Linked DNA regions of Lepisosteus oculatus. The protein of the gene in region 3 purifies or fractionates together with the protein of the main gene of each other region. This does not show direct contact. Links are inferred from orthologs where the notes say so. Each region holds a gene or a part of one and is shown on either strand. Other genes may lie near its edges.

Region 1 (7,224 bases), on a different chromosome or scaffold from region 3:
GAGAGAGAGGCAGCTGATCTCCAAGTTAATTAAAAAACAAGAGCTTTGACTAATTACCACCTTCTGATTTCTCACTGGAGCAGGTTTGATAATACCTAACCAAGCCTTCTTAGAGTTCTTAACTTTGAGCACTTACTGAATTCCCAGGTCTGTCTCACTCTGGAGAATCCATTCCAGCGCTGCCTCCAGCTTGCTTGCATAGTCTTTGTTTAAAATCTGCTGAAGAGATTTCAGTTCAGTTCCTGGCATGGGCAGATAACTTAATTACAGAGAAATAAAGACAGGACACGTCCACTGCAGTCAGAGCAGGTGAACACAGATCTCTTAAGTGCATGTTGAACTGATCTACACAGCTCCTGTCCTATGACAATCCTGCCATACAGCTGCATTTTAAAAGTCTCAATTCCCTAGATTCAGCAGTTTGAGAAGTGATACCTTGGAAAATTTAAGCTTAAGTCTGCAGACTGTCAAAAGTATCAATGCTGGGGGCACAGACCCTTGCTGGTCGTGACATGTTTTAAGATCAACAGGGTCAGAGTGGAGTGTGAGGGATAAACAGGCAGCTCCCATGGAAACTCTGCAGCAGCCCCTCAGTTTGCTGCATGGAAATCCTCACCTGTTTTCATAATTCAGAACTGTTCATCGTTTTCAGTTTATTTCACACTTTCATGCTCAACTTTCCATTTTTTAAGATCTTAGCAGGTAGAAAAAAACAAAGAATTCAAATGAATGAAGTTATCGGGTCATTAAAGAGACAGAGCTGAGCTGCAGTGAGAGGAAGTGGGCACACTGCTGCAGAGCCCAGTTCCTCAGACACGAGGGCACCACGTTCAGTGTTCCAGTCTCCGAGTGTGTAACCAGCATCACAGGGAGGAAAGGCTCACCACCAAGTAAGTCCTCACGTCTTCGATGGGAACACATGCATTCGTCAGTTTGGATGGGTTCCCACATTCGAAGTCACCTAAACAAGAAGAGAGAGAGAGAGTAATACAGTATGTTGCCCAATTGCTTATACAATTTTTGCATGCAAGAATCTCTTCTGGTTTCAAGACTACAGCTAGCAAGTGAAGGACCCATTTTAGTAAAACGTTTTGAAATGCTTGATCTTTCGTTCATGAATAAAACAAATCTGTGATTTCACTTAAAAATGACTCCATAAATTAAGTCATTTAACTAGGACTGCGTTAATTTAGCTGTTCTGTTATTTGTTTGAGCACATAACTCTTAGTGATTCAGTGATATTTGTATGATTTAATGTTTCCAGAGTTTTGCAAGACTGTGACACATTAGAAAGCTCTGTGCTTATTCAGCTGTCTTAGAGAACACAGGAAGTACCCACAACCTTTGTGAAAGCCATTCTGAAATTCTGTATCAAGGTGTATTCTGCGTACATTGGTGGAGACGGGGGTTAATGTGGTATGCAGATCTTTTAGACTACCTGGAGCTGGATTTCTCTTTCGCTAATGCACAGTGCTAAGCAATACTGGCCAGTTATGAATAAATGGTGTATTTACAACTGAATGCCATGCAGAGTATTTTTCAAATAAATTTAACAATAGCAGTGTGGCGCACTGATTCATTCGACCCACTGGTTTGCAACATATGGTTAGGAGCAGGTTATTATAGGAGGGCTATATTGACACAAAGGCTCAACATCTTTGTTCCACACGACACGCTCACCCCACGCCCCCTCCTCCCCTCTGGCCGACACTTCACCTGCCACCTTCGCCAGGAAGCTGTACAGCTCTGACAACAACTGCAGCTGCACCCTCTGCTCCTGAGCCCTGCAGTACTGGGGAAGGAGGAGGACAGAGGGGCAGACAGAGAGACAGGTGTTACACAAACTATGGTGCTTGTCCTCCACTCAAAGACCCAGTACCCATCAGAACTGTTTTCAATACTGCATTACTATCATTATCCCCGTGTTTAACTGTGGTTGCAGTTTCCTCTATACTGTTTGAAGGAGGTGGGTCTCTGTAGCAAGTGTTGACGTGTACCGGGAGACGGAGCCACAAGTGTGGGAACCTGCTGCTGTCCCACCCCCCTCACCCTGCCTGGAGATACACCTGTCTGCCCTCCCGGTGCTGGAGTTTGCTCACTGTCAGCAGCCAGCTGCAAGACATTCCACAAGCAAAGCACGCCTTTTCATAGCCAGCACTAGAACAGTACTCGCATCAAACTCATGAGTTTGGAAAAAAAGTCTGGAAATACTTCACAGCCACAAAGCTCTTGACAGAAAAGCATCGACTCTGCCTCACTGGCTGCTACTCTCTTTCCTCCCAATTAAAGCCTGCATCGGAACTTGTCAACCCAACAGTTTCTAATCTCCACTGCCCTCTTGTTACTCTTGTTGTGACCGGGCCGTTCGCCGCTAAATCACTTTGGGAAACTGAAAATCAACTTTCGCCTTACTGTGTCGGTCTTCCCATCGCAGTCCACGCTCAGCCCTTGAACTGGGAAAAGGGGAGAGAGGCGTTAATTTCCACAGCAACAGCAAACTGGGCAGTAACTTTAACAGAAAGCGGGTGAAGCGGGTATTTACTGAGACAGCGGCAGTCGAGGGTCCGGGCAGCTGGGTTACTAATAAGCCTTGGCGCTCTGACAGGGACAAGGCATGCGGATGTGAAGGGCGGGTTTCTCAATCCAGAGCAACTCATTAAACGAAAGAAGAAAAGCGAATTTGCTCACTGTTGCTGTTGGCGTTCTCGGCCTGGCCCAGACTCACAGTCTTCATATAAACCAGCCAGATGAGAATCAGGCTGAGGATTACGGTGCAAGCCAGCAGAACCCGGGACAGCTGCCGCTCGCAGAAGCGATTTCGCCGGGTGGAGCCGTCATACAGCCTCTGCGCGTCCACCCTTCTGAAGAAGGAAAAGTTCGTGCTGTCGGACAGCCGCCGGTTCCGGCTGTCCTCCCGAGTATCGCGAACCCTGCTCCCGTAGTCATCTTCATCGTCGTCGTCGTCGTCGTCGTCGTCCGAGTCTTCGCTGTCCCGGTGGAAGCTGGCTGTCCGCTGGCGGTGCCGGGGGCTGCCGCTGCTGTGCCGGTGTCGGGAGTGGATGTAAGACTGGCCTCTGAGGAGATGCACTCGGTTGTAGTCAACGGTGGCCTGTAGCTTCTGGAGTTTTTTCTGGTACAGTTTCCTTGTGTAATCGGATATGGGACCCGGGCTATAACCGAAGGACTTCAGCTCCCTACGGAGCAGCTCGTCCGAGAAGGCGGCCATGTTTAGTGTCCTGGGCGGAAGTGTGTTTTAACACACCGAGGTGGGCGTTCTGGGACGCCATGTTGGAAAGGACACAACCGTGCGCAAGAGGCAGAGGCATGGAGCCTCTGTTCAGTTGCTGATTAAAAAAACATTTCTCATGTAAATTCGTTTTGTCACTACATTTCAGTGTTTTTTTTATTTTAAACATAGCCGTGTACATTCTTGATGTATCAATAAAGTTTTAATAATATAAAAACATTGATTTCACATTGAGGGTTTATGTCTTGTTTTAAATTCTTGTTTTATGAATGTGGATGTATTACTTGTACTTATTACAATTTCTGTGAGAAAGAAGATACAGTCGGTATTCCAGTAGTTTTACAGCCTCTAACACTCAGCTTCTCCTGTTGTCGAGACAGCAGTTGGACCCTGACTGCAGTGCCTGGGGTCCTGCCACCACCTGACTACCTTGAGCCATCTGTCCCAGACGCTGGACAGGCCAAGTCACAATAATCAGGAAGGGAATAAAGTTTATTCTTCTTGTTTATTTACAATGTAATATTTTCACCGAGTTTTGGAAGCTTTGGAGCATTCATCTATGACTCTCCTAATCTTTGTACAATGCTGATGTACTTTGTGGGGAGTTACACACCTATAAAAGCCTGCAAGGCTCAGCAGATGTACTGGTGGGTCTGAGAAAATTATATTTGGAATTTAATTTTTTTTTTTAGTTTACCTATTTACAATTCTTGTAAACGTTGTATACCTTGAAAAAACTCTGTCATGATTTAATTTGAGCCTTTACCACAGGTTCATAGACACTTTACATTATACACTTTACTCTGCTTATACCCTGTCTCACCACAGTAATCAGTTTTCCAAGTTCACATGTAAACTCTTTCAGACTGCTGATCCAGGTTACTGAGCTCACACCATTTTCTTAAATGGTATGTATTTCTTGGTATGTATGCCGTACCATATAGATGGTCCTTCACACACTTATTCAGTGCAGAAATGATGTATTGCTTTAATAAAGAATAACATGAGAAAGGAATCTTTTAAATGGTCAATTCAGTTTTATTAAGCATGGTAAAGAGGTAAAGTGTATCTGTGGACATGCTTTAGGAATATTAGAACGACTTCCAGTTGCTTTAAATCAGAGCTGCTGGGCGTCTCCTCACTCGGCCACTGAAAAGCAGAAGAACACGGACGGATGAGTAGAGCAATGTGATTTTGTAAATTTGTCATAAAAGTATTTGCAAAGTATTATGAAAAGCTTTTATTTAATTGGTGTCTGTGTCTACCCCTTGTATCTTCTACTGCATTCAAACCCTTATTTTTAATTGTGCTAATTCTGTTAACTCCTCTTGTAATTTTTTCTTACTTTAAAGTACTATACAACCTTTAAAGGCAATGTATAAAATAACATTGTTTATTATTGTTGTTTTTACGATTATATAACTTTTAGGTGTTATGGATATACTGTACAGATTTATTAGTATAGTAATTGCATGTCAGTTAACGGTTCTTCTGCTGTTTTCATAGACTGTGCTGTTGGCAGGCTGCATATGGAAAGACCTGTGTTAGACCAGTGTATGCCAGCCTGCCTTGCCTCACCTTGCTGTCCCTCCTCCAGCATTTCCTGGAGGATCTCCCCCAGGGCAGGAGCGAGCTTGTTCAGCCGCTGGTGGGTCAGCCGCACCCCGATCTCCAGGGGCTCCTGCAGGCACAGACAGGGAGAGGCGTGGGCAAGTGGACAAAGAGGAGCAGTAGACAGCTGACTTTACCCCACTAAAGCTTCATGTGTTAGAATGGATTCCTGTACTGAGACTTAATATGAATAGTTTATCAAGTCATCAATTTCCCTACGGGATTAATAGAGTATTATCTCTCATCTAGTTAATTCCATAAAAAGAGACCTCGTTTAATCCCAAGCTCCATCTCTTTCCTGAGAACTTCATGGAATGCACCTTATCTCTTTCATCACATTTCAAGTGAGTTACCTTATCATCTCTGTGTTACCTCACCGGTGATGGCCTGTCTTTCTGCTCAGCATATAACTGGTGTAGGCAAAGCAACCTCCTTCATTCCATTGCGGGTCATGTTTTCCAAATAAACATTAATTATGTAAACATTCTGCAGCAGAAAGGCCAATTAAACAACTTAGTGTCAATCAATTATTTGAGTTAGAACCCCCATGATTAGTATGGCCTGCAAGATCCTAGGCTTCCTGACCCCTGGTACGGCCAGACTGGGGCTCATCCTACCTGGACTGCGTCATCCTTGACATTCCACTCCGTGCTGGCCAACTTCCCGAACTCCCTCTCCTCAGATCTCGGCTCTAAGTCCACGGATTTCTTGCCTGCCTTCACTTTCTCCTGCTCCTGTTGAGGAGGGCGTGTGACACAGCAGGTGTTAAAAGGGGAAAATAGGTGAGCAGGAGATTTCCTTCATGCATCTCTGTCAGTGTTTTGACTTGAGTTGTGTTAATGGTAACTGGATTGAGCAGGGGCTCATGGTAACAAAAGCACTGCAGGAACAGATCCTTGATGAGGAAGACTGCTGTATTCAGCTGGTGAGAACCCTGCTTGTACTGGGAGGCAGAGCAGTGTTTCTGAACTGGGCTGCTCTGGTTTGTCTGTTTGTCTCTCTCAGACCCGAAGACTCTCAAGACCCCAGACTTGAAACTCAGGTGAGCCTCCACAGGCGCACTGAGATACACATATCCACAAAGACCTGCAGATGAGTTAAGAGGGACTCAGGAGCTGAATGGAAGAAAAGGTAAACAGTTGATCTCCTGTGGTTTTCTGGTTGAGCATTCTTTTGTGAATTACATATTTGTTTCTTTCCTAGCTTTTCTCTCTTGAGTTCCGATTTGAATTCAGAAGACCTTTTTTGGCTGGAATAAATTACAAGTATTGCCAAAGCATTTTAGAGCCATTTTAGATTTTATGGACATACTGAAGTGTGATTCAGCTCCAGTTTGTAAAAACATAGTAAATGTCAAAATACTTTTAAACAAATTCATTGTTGTGTTTATCCTAACATAGATGCCTCCAACACATCCAGCCTATGCATATAAAGATAAATGCATCACAAACACTCATTCATACACAAAGTTCTTCCTGTATGTAGTACAACACAACAACTTGTATGGCACAGAGGGGAGACTCTCAGTCTGTCTCCCTCTCTCTACTCCGGACCTTACCATCATCCTCCTCATGTCACTAGGGCTGATGAAGCTGAGGAAGCCTTCCGTCTGCTTAGCCAGCATGGCCAGCACACACACCCCCAGCAGGCAGCCAATCACCTTGCTGTGCAACATTCTGGTGCCCTGCAGTGTGCGAGAGACACAGGCACTGAAGTCAAAGTGTGTGACACACAAGAGACCTGTCAGCAATAACTGAATCAGAGGACAGCTTTTAAAGCAGGAATATAATTACTTTTTCAGCAGTGATATAATAATAAGAGCTGCTTTTGTACCAGTCACTAACAAATTAGCTAACCCTGCAACAGTAAATCTCCAAACCAGCCACCCCATTTCTAAACCTTTGTTGTCCGCTGGCCTATTGGAATGTTAAACGTCCTTGATTTATTTATAACAGACATGAACCCATCATCCTAAATCTGGGCATAGTGGAGAGGCTGCACTGTGCCTGTAGTTTCAGCTTTTAGAGATGCTGTCTCCACATAAGAAAAAACTGGGGCTGAAACTTTTTTCCTAAATTTAAAGAAACTATTTTATGGCTGCAAATAAAATACAAACCCCTCTCCTGTTAAATTCTTCTAAGCAAGTTACGGAACAAAAACAGGAGACGTTTGATTGAGCAAGAAAAAAATCAAGAAACATTTCTTAGCTTGAATGTGATGAGGAGTTAGGTTTCAAGTGCAGATGAGATCTGAGAGCTGTGGAGCAGCAGTTCCTTCTTGGCCTTGCTGGATTGGCACACAGCTGGATGCCCATGAGTGTGGCGCTGTTCTCACCTGAGCTGTCAGTGTCCTGGTGCGATGTGCTG
Region 2 (7,496 bases), on a different chromosome or scaffold from region 3:
AGAGAGGCAGAGCAGATTCCCTTATAAAACAAGATGTAAAAGAGAGTCACACAAGATTCCCTTATAAAATTAAAAAGTGTGGAGTCACACCAGACTTATAAAAGTGTGTGAACAGGGTGTACAGAGTCACACCACCTCCCCTTATAAGGCGCCACGAGTCTCACTGGGGTGGTTTGATCAGGAACAGCAGGGCAGAGGAACTGCAGCTTTCTGGGCAAGAAAACGAGTCTCCATGGGACCTGCTGGTCAGAGAACACCCAGCTCTCTGTCTGGACCGCAGGGCGGCTGAAAACATGAAACAGCGGGAACACAGACAGGCTCAAACGCAGTTTTAAGGGAAACTTTCCAGCTCGGCAGGCTGTAAAACCGACTCGTGCAGGGTATCGCATCTCATCATGCACGTCAGGCAGACGCAGGTGTTCCTTTTAACGGCTTGGAAACACCTGCGGTTTCACCGAAAAAACCCTACCGCGCCAGGATCAGAAACATCCCGCTGCGTTTCAAGACGCGCAAGAACTCTGAAACCGAGGCAACAGCTGCAGAAAAACCTCAAACTCCGTCCTTCTCAACTGCAACCTCACCCTCACACTCCTCCTCCTCCTCAGATCTGTACACGACTGGAGAGACACTCAGTCTGATCACCTCCAGCTTCACCCTCACACTCCTCCTCCTCAGATCTGTACAGGACTGGAGAGACACTCAGTCTGATCACCTCCAGCTTCACCCTCACACTCCTCCTCCTCAGATCTGTACACGACTGGAGAGACACTCAGTCTGATCACCTCCAGCTTCACCCTCACACTCCTCCTCCTCCTCAGATCTGTACAGGACTGGAGAGACACTCAGTCTGATCACCTCCAGCTTCACCCTCACACTCCTCCTCCTCCTCAGATCTGTACAGGACTGGAGAGACACTCAGTCTGATCACCTCCAGCTTCACCCTCACACTCCTCCTCCTCCTCAGATCTGTACAGGACTGGAGAGACACTCAGCCTGATCACCTCCAGCTTCACCCTCACACTCCTCCTCCTCAGATCTGTACAGGACTGGAGAGACACTCAGTCCAGCTCCTGTGCTGTATAGACAGGACAGACAGGATAAACCAGTTCTCTCCAAACAGGTAAAGAGAAAAGGAACACGAGAACTTCACTAAGTTCCCTTTTTAAGAACACAATAACGAGAAAACTGAGACCGGTGGGAAAAAGCGTATACAGCCGATGGGACCCTGCGTGTGTGTGTCCGTGTTACTGCGAAAGAGTGTGTTGGGTGTGTGTGTTTGCGAGACGATAGTGTGACAGTGTGTATAACAGTGTGTTGGAGAGAGTGTGTGTGTGTGTCAGACTTCGAGTGCATCAGAGTGCCAGAACAGGTGTGGTACGATCAGTGAGCCGTGATCCGTGACCGGGTCAATATTTGCATTGTAGAGTCAGAACAAAGCCTGAGGTAACACAAAACAGCACTAGAGACACTACACTCATACCTGTACATAGACACCTGGTGTCCAGACTGAACAGCTGCTCCAATATGTCCAGACAGGTGAGTGTGTACAGTGTGTCAAGTAAGAGTCTGGACAGGTGTTTCTGTACAGTGTGTCCAGTGAGAGTGTGGACAGGTGAGTGTGTCCAGTGAGAGTGTGGACAGTGTGTCCAGTGAGAGTGTGGACAGGCGAGTGTGGACAGTGTGTCCAGTGAGAGTGTGGACAGGCGAGTGTGGACAGTGTGTCCAGTGAGAGTGTGGACAGGCGAGTGTGGACAGTGTGTCCAGTGAGAGTCTGGACAGGCGAGTGTGTACAGTGTGTCCAGTGAGAGTCTGGACAGGCGAGTGTGTCCAGTGAGAGTCTGGACAGGCGAGTGTGTCCAGTGAGAGTCTGGACAGGCGAGTGTGTCTCTACAGTGTGTCCAGTGAGAGTCTAGACAGGTGGGTGTGTCTCTACAGTGTGTCCAGTGAGAGTCTGGACAGGTGGGTGTGTCTCTACAGTGTGTCCAGTGAGAGTCTGGACAGGTGGGTGTGTCTCTACAGTGTGTCCAGTGAGAGTCTGGACAGGTGGGTGTGTCTCTACAGTGTGTCCAGTGAGAGTGTGGACAGGCGAGTGTGTACAGTGTGTCCAGTAAGAGTCTGGACAGGCGAGTGTGTCCAGTGTGTCCAATGAGAGTCTGGACAGGCGAGTGTGTACAGTGTGTCCAGTAAGAGTCTGGACAGGCGAGTGTGTACAGTGTGTCCAATGAGAGTCTGGACAGGCGAGTGTGTACAGTGTGTCCAGTAAGAGTCTGGACAGGCGAGTGTGTACAGTGTGTCCAGTAAGAGTCTGGACAGGCGAGTGTGTCCAGTGTGTCCAGTAAGAGTCTGGACAGGCGAGTGTGTACAGTGTGTCCAGTAAGAGTCTGGACAGGCGAGTGTGTCCAGTGTGTCCAGTAAGAGTCTGGACAGGCGAGTGTGTACAGTGTGTCCAGTGAGAGTCTGGACAGGCGAGTGTGTCTCTACAGTGTGTCCAGTAAGAGTCTGGACAGGCGAGTGTGTACAGTGTCTGTACACCGGGTATCACACACAGCGGCACAAGACAGTACACGGTGACCACACACACACTCCGCACCCGTGTCCGTGCTGCCCGGGACCGCACCGAACCGAGCGATCGCACCTGGGACACACTGCTGCTGTCCGGCCGCCGTCTCCGCTGTCCAACTCTCCGGGTCCGCTACCCGCGTGTCAGCACCTCCCCATCGCCGCCGGCCCCCCTCCTGCTCCCGCTCCCCGTCCGATCTCCCGCTCTCTCCGGCTTCCCGACGGCTACCGGGGATCCGCCATTGACTCTCCGGCAGAAAAAAAACATCCGACGGCGACCCGACGGGCAGGAGGGAACGTCTTTACCACCCAGAGGGCGACCGTCTCTTGCCCTCTCCCGGTTTAGGCCACAGAGACGAACTCAAGTACCGGAGCGGGAGGGGAGGGTGGAGAGGGGAGGGAAAAAAAAAGAGCAGAACTCCACAGCCGCCCAGCCTCGCTCGCAAACACACACACACACTCCCTCCTCTCCGCCACAACACCACTTCCGGACTGCCTGGAACGGGAAGTCCCGCCCCCCCCGCGGCCCCAGCGCTTCCTCCCAGCAACCCCCCGGCCTCCTGAGCGTCTCCCCTAGCAACTGTAGCGCGGCGCGTCAGAGCCGCCGAGGGGGGAGTTGGCCTGCTGTGATTGGGCGATGGCAGAGGAGGCGGGGACAGGAGCAGGGACTGGGACACGCCCCCCCTCCTCCTCCTCCTCCTGCTCAGCAGCACACAGAGCTGCTCCGGCTAGGAGCTTGATTTTCACATCGATTACAAAATAAAACATTTTATGACGTTAGTTAGATGCGACGCCATTTGAATTTCACGTTTAACATTGTAGCGGGAGAAAAGGCTGCATTTGCAGGTGCACACTGGTGGGGGTGGAGGGGATCCCCAATACCTGTAAAGCGCTTTGAGTGGAGTGTCCAGAAAAGCGCTATATAAGTGTCAGCAATTATTATTATTATTTGCGTTCGAACTCCACGAAAGTGCGTTATCGGCGCCATCAGCCTGGCAAAGCCAGCTTGTTCCCAACAACACAAACCGGAGGACTGGAGCGGAACATCACAGAGACGTGCGACTATACACAGAGGGGGGTGGGGGTGGGGAACAAGCTGCCCAGCCCTGTGGTTGAAGCCGATACCCTGGCTCCTCTCCAGACACAGCTGGGTGAGCTCTTCCAGTCAGGACAGGGGGGCTCTTCTGTACACAGAGGGGGGTGGGGGTGGGGAACAAGCTGCCCAGCCCTGTGGTTGAAGCTGATACCCTGGCTTCTCTCCAGACACAGCTGGGTGAGCTCCTCCAGTCAGGACAGGAGGCTCTTCTGTACACAGAGGGGGGTGGGGGTGGGGAACAAGCTGCCCCAGCCCTGTGGTTGAAGCCGATGCCCTGGCTTCTCTCCAGACACAGCTGGGTGAGCTCCTCCAGTCAGGACAGGGGGGGGCTCTTCTGTACACAGAGGGTGGCGGGGGTGGGGAACAAGCTGCCCAGCCCTGTGGTTGAAGCCGATACCCTGGCTTCTCTCCAGACACAGCTGGGTGAGCTCCTCCAGTCAGGACAGGAGGCTCTTCTGTACACAGAGGGTGGTGGGGGTGGGGAACAAGCTGCACAGCCCTGTGGTTGAAGCCGATACCCTGGCTCCTCTCCAGACACAGCTGGGTGAGCTCCTCCAGTCAGGACAGGGGGGGGGGGCTCTTCTGTACACAGAGGGTGGCGGGGGTGGGGGTTAATTCACTGGACTTTCCCACAGCTGGGCGCTCTGCGCCAGGAGAAACGGCTTAGCTCTGGGCGGCCCACCCCCAGACCCCGGTACTCTGCACGTTTCCTCTCCAGCCCCAGTCTTAACCCCGGCCCGTGACGGTCTGAACGGGGGGGGCCGACCGGAGCCCCTCCCAGAACGGGGGGCCCTTCCTGCAGCGCCATCTGTACCCCTCCCCCAGGAGCGCCCCCAATCGATACAGGTTTGTGAATGTTTTATTTTCAAGTACCAGTACAGGAGGCTGGGAGGACAACAAACAGACTTTTCTTTTGAAGGGGACGTCCGCTTCCGATCAATATCTCTCGACGTCAAATCGCCGTCAGAACCCAACAGCAAGAGATCCTTCGGCCTTCGAGACGAGAGTCTCAATTATCTGAAGGGTCACTTGTTGTGAAAAGCGCTCCCCCCGTTCCTTAGTCTCTGTCTCCCTCTTGTGGGCTGCTGCGGTATTGCAGCCGCCCGGGGGGAGAATTTCTCTCGCCGCCTGGTGGTCGGACCCGGGTACTGCGGCTAAACACTGTGCCGTCTCGTCAAGATTTCTTTACGTCTCTGTCTGGATGCGCCGCAGCGCCGCCAGCTGGTCGTCGATGCTCTGCAGCTCCACTCGCAGGGCGGACACCTGTGGAGGAGAGTCGTGGGCTGGGTTAAAAAGGAGCATTTCATCCCCGTTGCTGAGCAGGGTCAGTGTGTCCTGTGATGGACTGGTGTCCTGTCCAGGGTGTGTGAGTGTGTGTCTGTGTCCTGTGATGGACTGGTGTCCTGTCCAGGGTGTGTGAGTGTGTGTGTGTCCTGTGATGGACTGGTGCCCTGTCCAGGGTGTGTGTGTGTGTCCTGTGATGGACTGGTGTCCTGTCCAGGGTGTGTGAGTGTGTGTGTCCTATGATGGACTGGTGTCCTGTCCAGGGTGTGTGAGTGTGTGTGTCCTGTGATGGACTGGTGTCCTGTCCAGGGTGTGTGAGTGTGTGTGTGTGTGTGTGTGTGTGTGTGTGTGTGTGTGTCCTGTGATGGACTGGTGTCCTGTCCAGGGTGTGTGAGTGTGTGTGTCCTGTGATGGACTGCTGTCCTGTCCAGGGTGTGTGAGTGTGTGTGTGTCCTATGATGGACTGGTGTCCTGTCCAGGGTGTGTGAGTGTGTGTGTCCTGTGATGGACTGGTGTCCTGTCCAGGGTGTGTGAGTGTGTGTGTGTCCTGTGATGGACTGGTGTCCTGTCCAGGGTGTGTGAGTGTGTGTGTGTGTCCTGTGATGGACTGCTGTCCTGTCCAGCATGTGTGAATGTCTGTGTGTGTGTCCTGTGATGGACTGGTGTCCTGTCCAGGGTGTGTGAGTGTGTGTGTGTCCTGTGATGGACTGGTGTCCTGTCCAGGGTGTGTGTGAGTGTGTGTGTCCTGTGATGGACTGGTGTCCTGTCCAGGGTGTGTGTGTGTGTGTGTGTCCTGTGATGGACTGGTGTCCTGTCCAGGGTCTGTGTGTGTGTCCTGTGATGGACTGGTGTCCTGTCCAGGGTGTGTGAGTGTGTGTGTGTGTCCTGTGATGGACTGCTGTCCTGTCCAGGGTGTGTGAGTGTGAGTGTGTGTGTCCTGTGATGGACTGGTGTCCTGTCCAGGGTGTGTGAGTGTGTGTGTGTGTCCTGTGATGGACTGGTGTCCTGTCCAGGGTGTGTGAGTGTGTGTGTGTGTGTCCTGTGATGGGCTGGTGTCCTGTCCAGGGTGTGTGAGTGTGTGTGTGTGTGTCCTGTGATGGACTGGTGTCCTGTCCAGGGTGTGTGAGTGTGTGTCCTGTGATGGACTGCTGTCCTGTCCAGGGTGTGTGAGTGTGTGTGTGTGTGTCCTGTGATGGACTGGTGTCCTGTCCAGGGTGTGTGAGTGTGTGTCCTGTGATGGACTGCTGTCCTGTCCAGCGTGTGAGAGCTCAGCCTGTGAGCAAGAACAGTGTTAATTAATCGCAGCGTGTCCTATGCCACAATACGGTCAGAGAGTCACTGTGTCGTTCCCGGTCCCCGCCAGTGTGTAGTTCACTGCGTCGGTGAGTCATGGCGTCAGTGTGAATCCAGTCCGCGCGTCAGGTGTCTCACCCGGCGGGCCTGCTCCTCCCTCACTCTCTCGGGCACCCTCTGCTCGTACCCTCGGACCCGGGACCGGCCCAGGGCCTCCTCCAGGCGGGCCGCCACCTTCTCCCTCCGCCGAGACAGGGAGACGCTCTGCTGCAGCACGTCCACGCTGCCCTGGGAGACAGAGACGCGCGGTCACCACCCAGCGGGGGGGTGAGGCGGATTAGGGCTCGCACCCGAGGCCGAGGCTGTTACCTGGACGCGCAGGTGCACCTGACAGTGGGCGTTGACCACGCCCACGGCGCAGCCGGGTGGGGGGGCGGCTCCCTCCGCTGGCCGCAGGAGGTGCAGCGCCCCGGCGCGCGACAGGGTCCGAGCCGGAGAGAGGAACTCCTGCAGCACCGCGGACAGGCCCGGGTCCGAGCACAGCACCCACACTGTAACAGGACACACAGTCACGTCACCTCAGTGACACACTGACACATCACCCACACTGTAACAGGACCCAGAGTCACGTCACCTCAGTGACACACTGACACAGCTCCCACACTGCGACGGGACCCAGAGTCACGTCACCTCAGTGACACACTGACACAGCACCCACACTGCAACAGGACACACAGTCACGTCACCTCAGTGACACACTGACACAGCTCCCACACTGCGACGGGACCCAGAGTCACGTCACCTCAGTGACACACTGACACAGCTCCCACACTGCGACGGGACCCAGAGTCACGTCACCTCAGTGACACACTGACACAGCTCCCACACTGCGACGGGACCCAGAGTCACGTCACCTCAGTGACACACTGACACAGCTCCCACACTGCAACGGGACACACAGTCACGTCACCTCAGTGACACACTGACACAGCTCCCACGCTGCAACAGGACACACAGTCATGTCACCTCAGTGACACACTGACACAGCTCCCACACTGAAACAGGACACACAGTCACGTCACCTCAGTGACACACTGACACAGCTCCCACACTGCAACGGGACCCAGAGTCACGTCACCTCAGTGACACACTGACACAGCACCCACACTGCAACAGCACACACAGTCACGCCACCTCAGTGACACACTGACACAGCTCCCACACTGCAACAGCACACACAGTCACGCCACCTCAGTGACACACT
Region 3 (7,913 bases):
CTTGACAAAGACAAAGTTAGATCATTTTAAAGTGTAATTGGGTTCACTTTCATCCTTACAGCTTCAGTATGAAACAGATCTGGGATGAATATTGGAATGGTCACAGTGTCAGATGCTCTGACCTAAGCTCATTTTCAAAAGGAGTCAGGAGCTACTCCAAGTGTGATATATAGTATGACAGAGAAGGAGAAGTAAAAATGTGCCTTGTGGTTGAAAAGGAAGTCTGAACAGGTATTCTGGTAGAAATCTGTTCTTTCATTACAGGAATGTGCTTCCTGTACATTTACCAAACTACATTGGTCCTAAAATCTGGTTGGAAACAGGGGACACATTTTGCTGTAATTTCACTTTAAATCTTTTCCCAGTAATATTATCCTCTAGTTAGCCATCATAAGGGGGTAGTGTAAGACTGCCTGTTATTGGTTTCCATTACAGCTACATTTAAGCTGAAAGGGATCTCAGCTCATAACTGAAAGACTGTGATTGTTACACCGTCTCTCACTCTCAGACCAAACACTAGAAGTATTTAACAACAATTGCAGTGAGGGCTGGATATTCCACATTCCTCATTCCTTGCTTTTTGGGTTGTGGTGTTAAGGCAAGGCTGCAGGTACAGAGAGCTCCTACCACAACACATACTTTAGCTAATCGTGGCGTGTATCCATAGATGCTTATAAAGATTTTATTTAGCGTGATGGAAAGGCTAAAGTTGTGTAAGACTGAATGAAGAACTGTAATCAATAGATATTGAAAATGTAAACTAAAGACGGATAAAGAAACAACTGAAAATCAAGGCAGTCTTATTCCGATCAAGACTCTACATGCTGATGTTTGATGCAAGTCTTTGCTGAAATGAGGACGGTATTAAATGCATCCACAGCACAAAGACTTGGCACTTATTTTCAAAAGTACATTGTTTCATACAGTATGCCCATTACTGTTCTCCAATGTCAGCACATTCTGTTCTCTGATATTAAGAACAGAACGCAGAAAGAAATCTATACCAGAGGCTGTGAAACTGTGTAGTTCTTATAATAAAGGTGATAAAGCAGCTTTTTCTTGCTGGATGTACAGTGAGGAGATATACCCTTTCTTGAAAATCCTGCTATACTGTTCATGAATACATATTAAAGGGAACTGTTCTTGAAAGGAATAGACCAAACATAAACTTTGAAAGGGATGTGACCAAGGAGACTTTCAGAATGGATAAGAAAGAAAATAATGTGACTTATCCGGACTCATTATAAAGACTCGGAGCACTCTCCACGTCCTTTAAAACATTTTGGTTGCCAAATGAACTCAACTAAACTCTAAAGTTTTTGCTTGTGCTTAATACTGCAATAACTCCTGCCAGTTACAATCCCCCTCTATGAATTGGCTTCATTACTCTGCTCTCCTCCCCACTGATAGCTGATGTGTGGTGTGTGGTGAGCTAGTAGTTCTGGTGCACTATGGCTGCCGTCATATCATCCAGGTGGATGCTGCACATTGGTGGTGGTGGAGGGGAGTCCCCATTACCTGTAAAGCGCTTTGAGTGGATTGTCCAGAAAAAGCGCTATATAAGTGTAATTATCTGTAGACTTTTGTAGGATATTCCTTTGAGCCAGGGACTGATACAAGTTTAGCATAACATTCCTAGATCCCTAGATCCACAGTGTGTACTATTAACTCTTATATAGCTGTATCCTAATATTTTTATACTTACAATTTCTCTAAATTGTGTTGGACATAGAACTGATGTCTCCATAAATACTGCAGTCATTTTCACAAGTTACTCTTTCATTAGAGTTTTCTATCTTATGCTTAAATGGTGCACAGATAGTAAAAATACACTGTTTTTCTGCTACTCCTCCCCTTTTGAATTTGGCAAATTGCACTAGTTTACAACCTATACCACAATCTGAATCATTGGTGTACTGTATATTAGGATGAGCAATATGAATCCCTGTAGTACTGTGCTACTTACACTCCTTATTTGTACTCTCAGAGTGGAATAAACATTTACCTGCTCCTTTTCACCCTACACATGATGACGCAGCTACCTACTCAAACGTCTTTGTCTATAATTACTTGGTTCAGTTTTGCCACCTTTTTAAATAAAATTTCCATTTTGAAACATGAAAAGAAAAAAATCTTTAGCCACTATCGGAAGTATTTTGTTAATTGCCAAGTATTTTTGTTAAACACCATTAATTTCTAGAGATTTATTTTAAATTCATCCAGTACCTGTAACACGACTTGTCTCGTCTTTGTTTTGAAAGACGATGCTCTCTGCAGTCATGTTGCCAACATTTCCAATGACCAACTCTTTTTACACATACAGTAGATACACAAAATAGCGGCCAACTGTCCGTGACGGTTTATGGAGTTTATTTAATGAAAGTTCGGGAGGGATGACAACAACCTCGCTCAATCATTCCCAGCTGTCAGTGATTAGCAATCACTCCCTTCGTCCTTCCTCCACCAAACGCTGTAAATACAGTACCAAATGCGATATCTCCCTCCCTCGCATGCAACTTTTGCATCCCACCTCCACCCCAACTCCACCTCTGCAGCGACCCCTTGGTCACCCTGCGTGGGGGTCCTGGCCTCCTCGGCCTATGGCCAGGGGGTCGGCCCTCAGCCAAGTGTGTTAAGCCAAACACTCGCTCCACAATAGTTAATTACGCTTTGATTTGGGGCGCTTTTTCATTCCTCGTGAACCAGTCATTGTATTCTTCTGTTCCAGGTGCAGGTGGATCTAGAGGACTCAATCCCCCAAAGTGAAATATTATTTCAGTTTGGTTAGATTTCAGAATATGATAGAGGAACGAAATATGTTGACCATATTTTGAGTGAAATATTATTTCAGTTAGGTTAGATTGCAGAATATGATAGAGGAACGAAATATGTTGACCATATTTTGAGTGACTCGTCTAGCTGAGGGTGTGCCAGCCCAGCCATGAGATTAAGGCTTGCCTAAACTTCCCTTGACTATTGTGAGAACTACGCTTAAGAGTTCCTGCAAGGATGCAGGTAGGGTGGTGGGAGGGGTGTGAGTGAGATTTGAGATGTGACATTTGGGATGCGCGATTTATATACACACTGCAGGCAAGTGGAAATGTGCGAAATTAGGATTTAACCTGCAGGACTTCATTTAATATAAATCTTTGTTTTTGTTTTTTTCATTTTGCTGTCAGTTTTTGAGTTAAATATTCATCTAATAAATTCACCATGCCCTTGCATCATCTAAGCATTTTCTATTCCTATCCCTCAGACACTTCATTTACTTTTCCTTTCCTGCTGTAATACTTAAAAAGTTTGTTTTAGCTCCCATTGTATTATATTCCTGCTTTTTCCTGTATTCTGGAGAATTTAAATTTTATAAATGGCTTTCTTCTTATATCTTTCTTATTTATATATTAAAGAAGCTGGACTACAGCTTTATTAGCTTTAGATTTACTCATTTATCTTGTCCAGTCCACTTGAAAACCACAATAATTCAAAGTTTTGATGTAGGCCAAGATTGGGATTTAGTACAGTTTCCAAATATATTTGAAAACACCATATGATGATCACAGTTTTCTAATGAGTCTGTCACCTGTGTGGTACTTATTTTTATCTAGAAAAGACCAGATCAATGCTGATATTTCCCCTAATAGGTGCTCTTTCATGGCTATTAACCATGTGTATTTTCAGTTTCTGACTCAAATTAAATCCCCCATGATAACAGCTTTTACTTACAAACATGCTAATGATTTAATTATATGGGTTTAATTATAATTGATATCTGAAATATGCACAAAAGTAGCTTACCCTATTAAACATTAGATCTTTGCAACATTACAATTAAACAATATTTTATGTAACTTCCAAAGCTTTTACAGGCACAGTACCCAGACTGGTTGATTCTATCGGAATTGAATTCTATTGAAATTGGAATGAAACAGTATAGGGACTGTAAATATTTACATATTGAGTAAATACACGAGTGCAATACTGCAATCATATGTGACAGCTTAGTCACGCTCTGCATATAACTAGTTGCTTGCTTTTCAAACCTTGCAATTGCTAAAACAATGATATCTTCACACTGTGGTAATTCAACAGTAAACATCTACAGTCTGGATGCTGACATCTCCTTCCCAAGACTTATTGCAAATAGAGGCAACACAAGAAAGGTACTGTACACCAGAATTTTTTTTACTGTACTGATATATATTAAAACCATCGGATGCCTATGTAAGACAATAGTAGATCATGATAAGTTATTCTGCTCAGTGCTTTCAGACTCATCTAATAGTCTCATAAATAATGGCAGAAGTTATTCTGTTCTTTATAATAACAATTCATGGCTCACACTGCAAGAAACCTTTTGACCATGCTTTTGTTTTTATTAAACATACATAAAAAATTAAAAAAGTAAATAACATTTTTATTCTCAAGAAGATGCCTTCTTTGTTTTAGAATTCTTCATTAATGAAACAACATGAATCCGTTTCAACACTAGTTCTAATTTGTCATTCCCCTTCAAGCATATACGAGAGTAACTACATCACTAATAAAATATGGGTTGTTTTGATATCAGTTCCAGTGAGAATACAGTAAGTCTGCAGAAAACAACCACAAACAAAAAGAACCTTAATCTGCTGTCCGACCAGCAATATGAATAAGCACATTGAATGGGTATTGTATTTAAAGAATGTAGCGAGGGGAGAATAGTTCACATTTTTTTTTATTTGACTAAGACTGGCTTGGAAGAGCATTAGTCATTGAAGACCGAACAAAATAGTTGTAGGGTCTCATTTCATAATCTAGGTGAAGTTTTGCAGACCTTTCAGTTTTATGGAACAGAGAAGAAGCATAAAGCTTCCTCTGAGCCAATCACATGAGAGTGAGGAAGAAAGGGAGAGAGAATACTTGTTGGAGATTAGATATACAGAAGTATAAGATTCAGTAAAGGGACAAAAACGGTCTCAGAAGGACCCAGAATTCCATCCTAAATTCATTGGAGGGCACCTTTCTTCATCACATTTGGTCTTCTTTTGCCCCAAAACCTTCATATCAATGGCTTTACTACAGGTGGTTTTCCCATTTTTTCTGTGGTTTCTTGTTTCTTTGGACATGTACAGTGGTGAGCAGTCCTCTAGAAAAGAGGTTTTTGTGAAGGTGGTGGACCTGTTGTCAACCGGAGAAGCCTACTTGAACGAGAATGCTGTTCACTCCTTTTTAAATATCTTGAAGAAACGTGTGCAATGCTCTGATGTGTCGTGTGAAAAGGTAAACTATTTTTACTCACTTCAGCTCCTTCTAGTCGGTTGCAGAGAGGTCGAGGTCCAAATCGCCAGCCAGCTTCTTTGCCTCGAAGGGTAGATAGTGCACACTTCAGAACAGATTTTTAAAGACTTCTGCTTACAATAACCTGACATTTTTATAGAAAATCCCTTGCAACCAGTCATTCCAAACAGTGAGACTTTAAGCCATCTCTTAACAGTCAGATCCTATAGCAACATCTTGAAATGTTGTGAGAAAAAAAACTGTGCTAAGCCCAAAACATGGTATATTTTTTAAATAAAACTACCGTACTTTTTTAAATATTGCCGAAGAAGCCTGAGTTTCCATTGTATTCTATAAAGAAAAGAAAACATTTTAAAAAATGAAGAAAGACTGCATATTGAAGGCTGTTGAATTTGTGAAAATGATAAAAATGGACAAAATATTCCTAATTTTTTATTAAACACTCTTCTATTACTGCTTTGGATTGATGTTGCTAAGTACTGTATGTATCCTCTGCATTGAAACATAAATGTATTTTAATTATGTATTAAACCTAAAAATGTAATTGGGGAAAAAAATCCCTCCATTTTATAGAACTTTGTATATTTTTGTTTTCCTAATTTTAAACAGGAGTATGTTATATATTATTGTGTTATACGTATTGAGACTGATGTTACATTATAAATACAGTTAGGTGAAAATTTGTGAGGACAAACTATTAGTTAAAATGTTTTCAATGTTAAAATTAACACTTAAACCACAGTCTTAATTTTCCATGAAAGGTGTGCTAGATATCTTAGATATCTACAGTAGTATCTTGTTGCAAAATGAAAAATGTGAACGTCAGAGGTTGATACCCATGATGAACTGGCATACTGCACTGGTGTACTTTCTCATACCTAATACTTCACTTTATACAAAAATGGATTACTAACCTCTTAAAACAAGATCCACTACTGTGACTTCATGTCTGACATCTTAAATGATCATGAATAATAATCAATATCATACACTCTTTCACTCATGCTCAGTTTTGCTCTCAGTGTGGTATTCATCTCCAGTTGCTCTGATCAAACACATGATCATTTTAGTTAACACACAATTTCACAATAAGATGGCTAAAGTTTTTTTTAACCTGACTTTAAAGGCATCCACAAAGAATAGCTGTAGGAAATATGTAGGAAAGAGATGATGTTTACAAACATTGAAACATGATTCAGAAAGTATGGAGACAGTAAGATTCATTGGATCAAACATCCAGATATATCCAGACTGTTCTATTTTCCTCATATTTTGTTCCCCCTGCTATTTGGGTCATTGTAGAGTTAACCAAAATCCTTTTTGGGTTTGAATAATATATAATATTGGCAGAATAATATTTAACTAAAGAATTGACTTTATAATTCCTTCCCAGCCGGACTACAAAACATTAGCTAAAAATTACCCTAGACTGGCCATGAACTCCAATGCAGGTATGAAGTATGTATTGATTTTACGTAATCAGAAAAGCATTGTTTGGACAGTCCAGGATATAGCAATTTGTCAATACTCCCACATCCAGGCAACTAATGAACATTTTATTTCTCATACTACTGAATGGCTTGACTGCTCAGTGAATGGAATACTGACAAATATGGAGGCACTTCACTTACTGTGGAGCTCAAATCATGAATATTATTACAAAAAAAACGTTTTTCATATTTAAAAATACAAAAAAATAGAAATAAGCAATTATCTTTCTTAAACATGCCTATTGGGGGTTACAATTGGAGAGCTGATATTGAATTTCATCTACTGTATAGTGATAGTAAATAACCATATGAAATGTAGTAAAGTGCTTAATGATTTGTCCAAGGTAGGAGAATAGCAACCTGAAAATAGTGATTTAATGCTATTTTTTTCCCCAATTGTTTTATTTCTGTTTGCCTCCAGTGTCTTTCTCCTGCTGATCTGGCTCAGCTTTATCCTGGCTTTTCAACAGCCAGTAGATTGGACAGTGAAGGGTTTTTCAAGGTCGCGCCTGGGTTGTGCTTCTACATGAGCGATCCAGCTGAAGCGTGTGCTGCTGTGAAGGAAAACCAGTGGCAGAGGGAAACCGAGGCGTTCGTGCAGGGCATTAAAGCTAAAGGCAACCAAGGAGATGGTTTTGACCTCAGTCCTGTTGAGTTAGATCACATGCTCCATAAAATTGAAAGGCATTGCCTTGCAATGGGCAAAGATCAGGTAAGTACAGTGCTGATTCAGTGCATTACACAGAAAACTTCCAGCTAAAGGCCTTGAACTGCCTGCAGCATTCCGCTGAGAACTACTGTATGCACGTTCTCTAGATTTGTGCGTTACCTGTACTGTATGTGTGATTTGATTTGCTTATATTGCAACAACAGGCTTATCCATACCCTGAATATTTTTAATCTGTCCTCCCTAACTACTCAGCTGTGGTTTCTCCCTCAAGCCATGTTCTGCTTATATATTTGGTTGTATAAAACATGAACGTAACAAATGAAGTAGGCATGTTGGCGGCAGGATTGAGCTCTCAAGGTACTCTCCAGATACAACAATGTGCACACAGGGGAAAAGGTTTGAAAATGTCTTTACTGAAGACCGAATGTATTTCTTTGCTGGAACCTGTATTATTTAAACACCTTGTCTAAGGTAAC

What was found.
Region 1: the proteins of slc39a4 (region 3) and LEM domain-containing protein 2 purify together in Homo sapiens (affinity purification with mass spectrometry; 3 studies listed by BioGRID and IntAct, counting the BioPlex papers as one, with this or other methods). This does not show direct contact. The link is inferred for Lepisosteus oculatus from reciprocal best matches to the Homo sapiens genes SLC39A4 and LEMD2.
Region 2: the proteins of slc39a4 (region 3) and mgat1b purify together in Homo sapiens (affinity purification with mass spectrometry; 3 studies listed by BioGRID and IntAct, with this or other methods). This does not show direct contact. The link is inferred for Lepisosteus oculatus from reciprocal best matches to the Homo sapiens genes SLC39A4 and MGAT1.

What each region holds. Positions count from the first base shown.
Region 1 is NC_090700.1:40,714,893-40,722,116, reverse strand, and holds the start of LEM domain-containing protein 2, read right to left. Parts: upstream 3,233-7,224; 5' UTR 3,227-3,232; coding exon 2,689-3,226; exon of another isoform or gene 2,454-2,688; coding exon 2,413-2,453; exon of another isoform or gene 1,943-2,412; intron 1,793-1,942; coding exon 1,681-1,792; intron 962-1,680; coding exon 885-961; exon of another isoform or gene 693-884; intron 217-692; coding exon 137-216; intron 1-136. Other genes in the region: mlnl (motilin-like), read right to left, coding at 4,386-4,396, 4,826-4,928, 5,476-5,592, 6,417-6,533. UniProt on the Homo sapiens protein: Nuclear lamina-associated inner nuclear membrane protein that is involved in nuclear structure organization, maintenance of nuclear envelope (NE) integrity and NE reformation after mitosis.
Region 2 is NC_090709.1:41,048,409-41,055,904, forward strand, and holds the start of mgat1b (alpha-1,3-mannosyl-glycoprotein 2-beta-N-acetylglucosaminyltransferase b), read right to left. Parts: upstream 3,233-7,496; 5' UTR 2,636-3,232; intron 1-2,635. Other genes in the region: vars2 (valine--tRNA ligase, mitochondrial), read right to left, coding at 4,841-4,918, 6,371-6,520, 6,602-6,783. UniProt on the Homo sapiens protein: Initiates complex N-linked carbohydrate formation. Essential for the conversion of high-mannose to hybrid and complex N-glycans.
Region 3 is NC_090705.1:33,283,402-33,291,314, reverse strand, and holds the start of slc39a4 (zinc transporter ZIP4), read left to right. Parts: upstream 1-4,761; 5' UTR 4,762-5,046; coding exon 5,047-5,259; intron 5,260-5,278; exon of another isoform or gene 5,279-5,340; intron 5,341-7,188; coding exon 7,189-7,479; intron 7,480-7,913. UniProt on the Homo sapiens protein: Selective transporter that mediates the uptake of Zn(2+). Plays an essential role for dietary zinc uptake from small intestine. The Zn(2+) uniporter activity is regulated by zinc availability.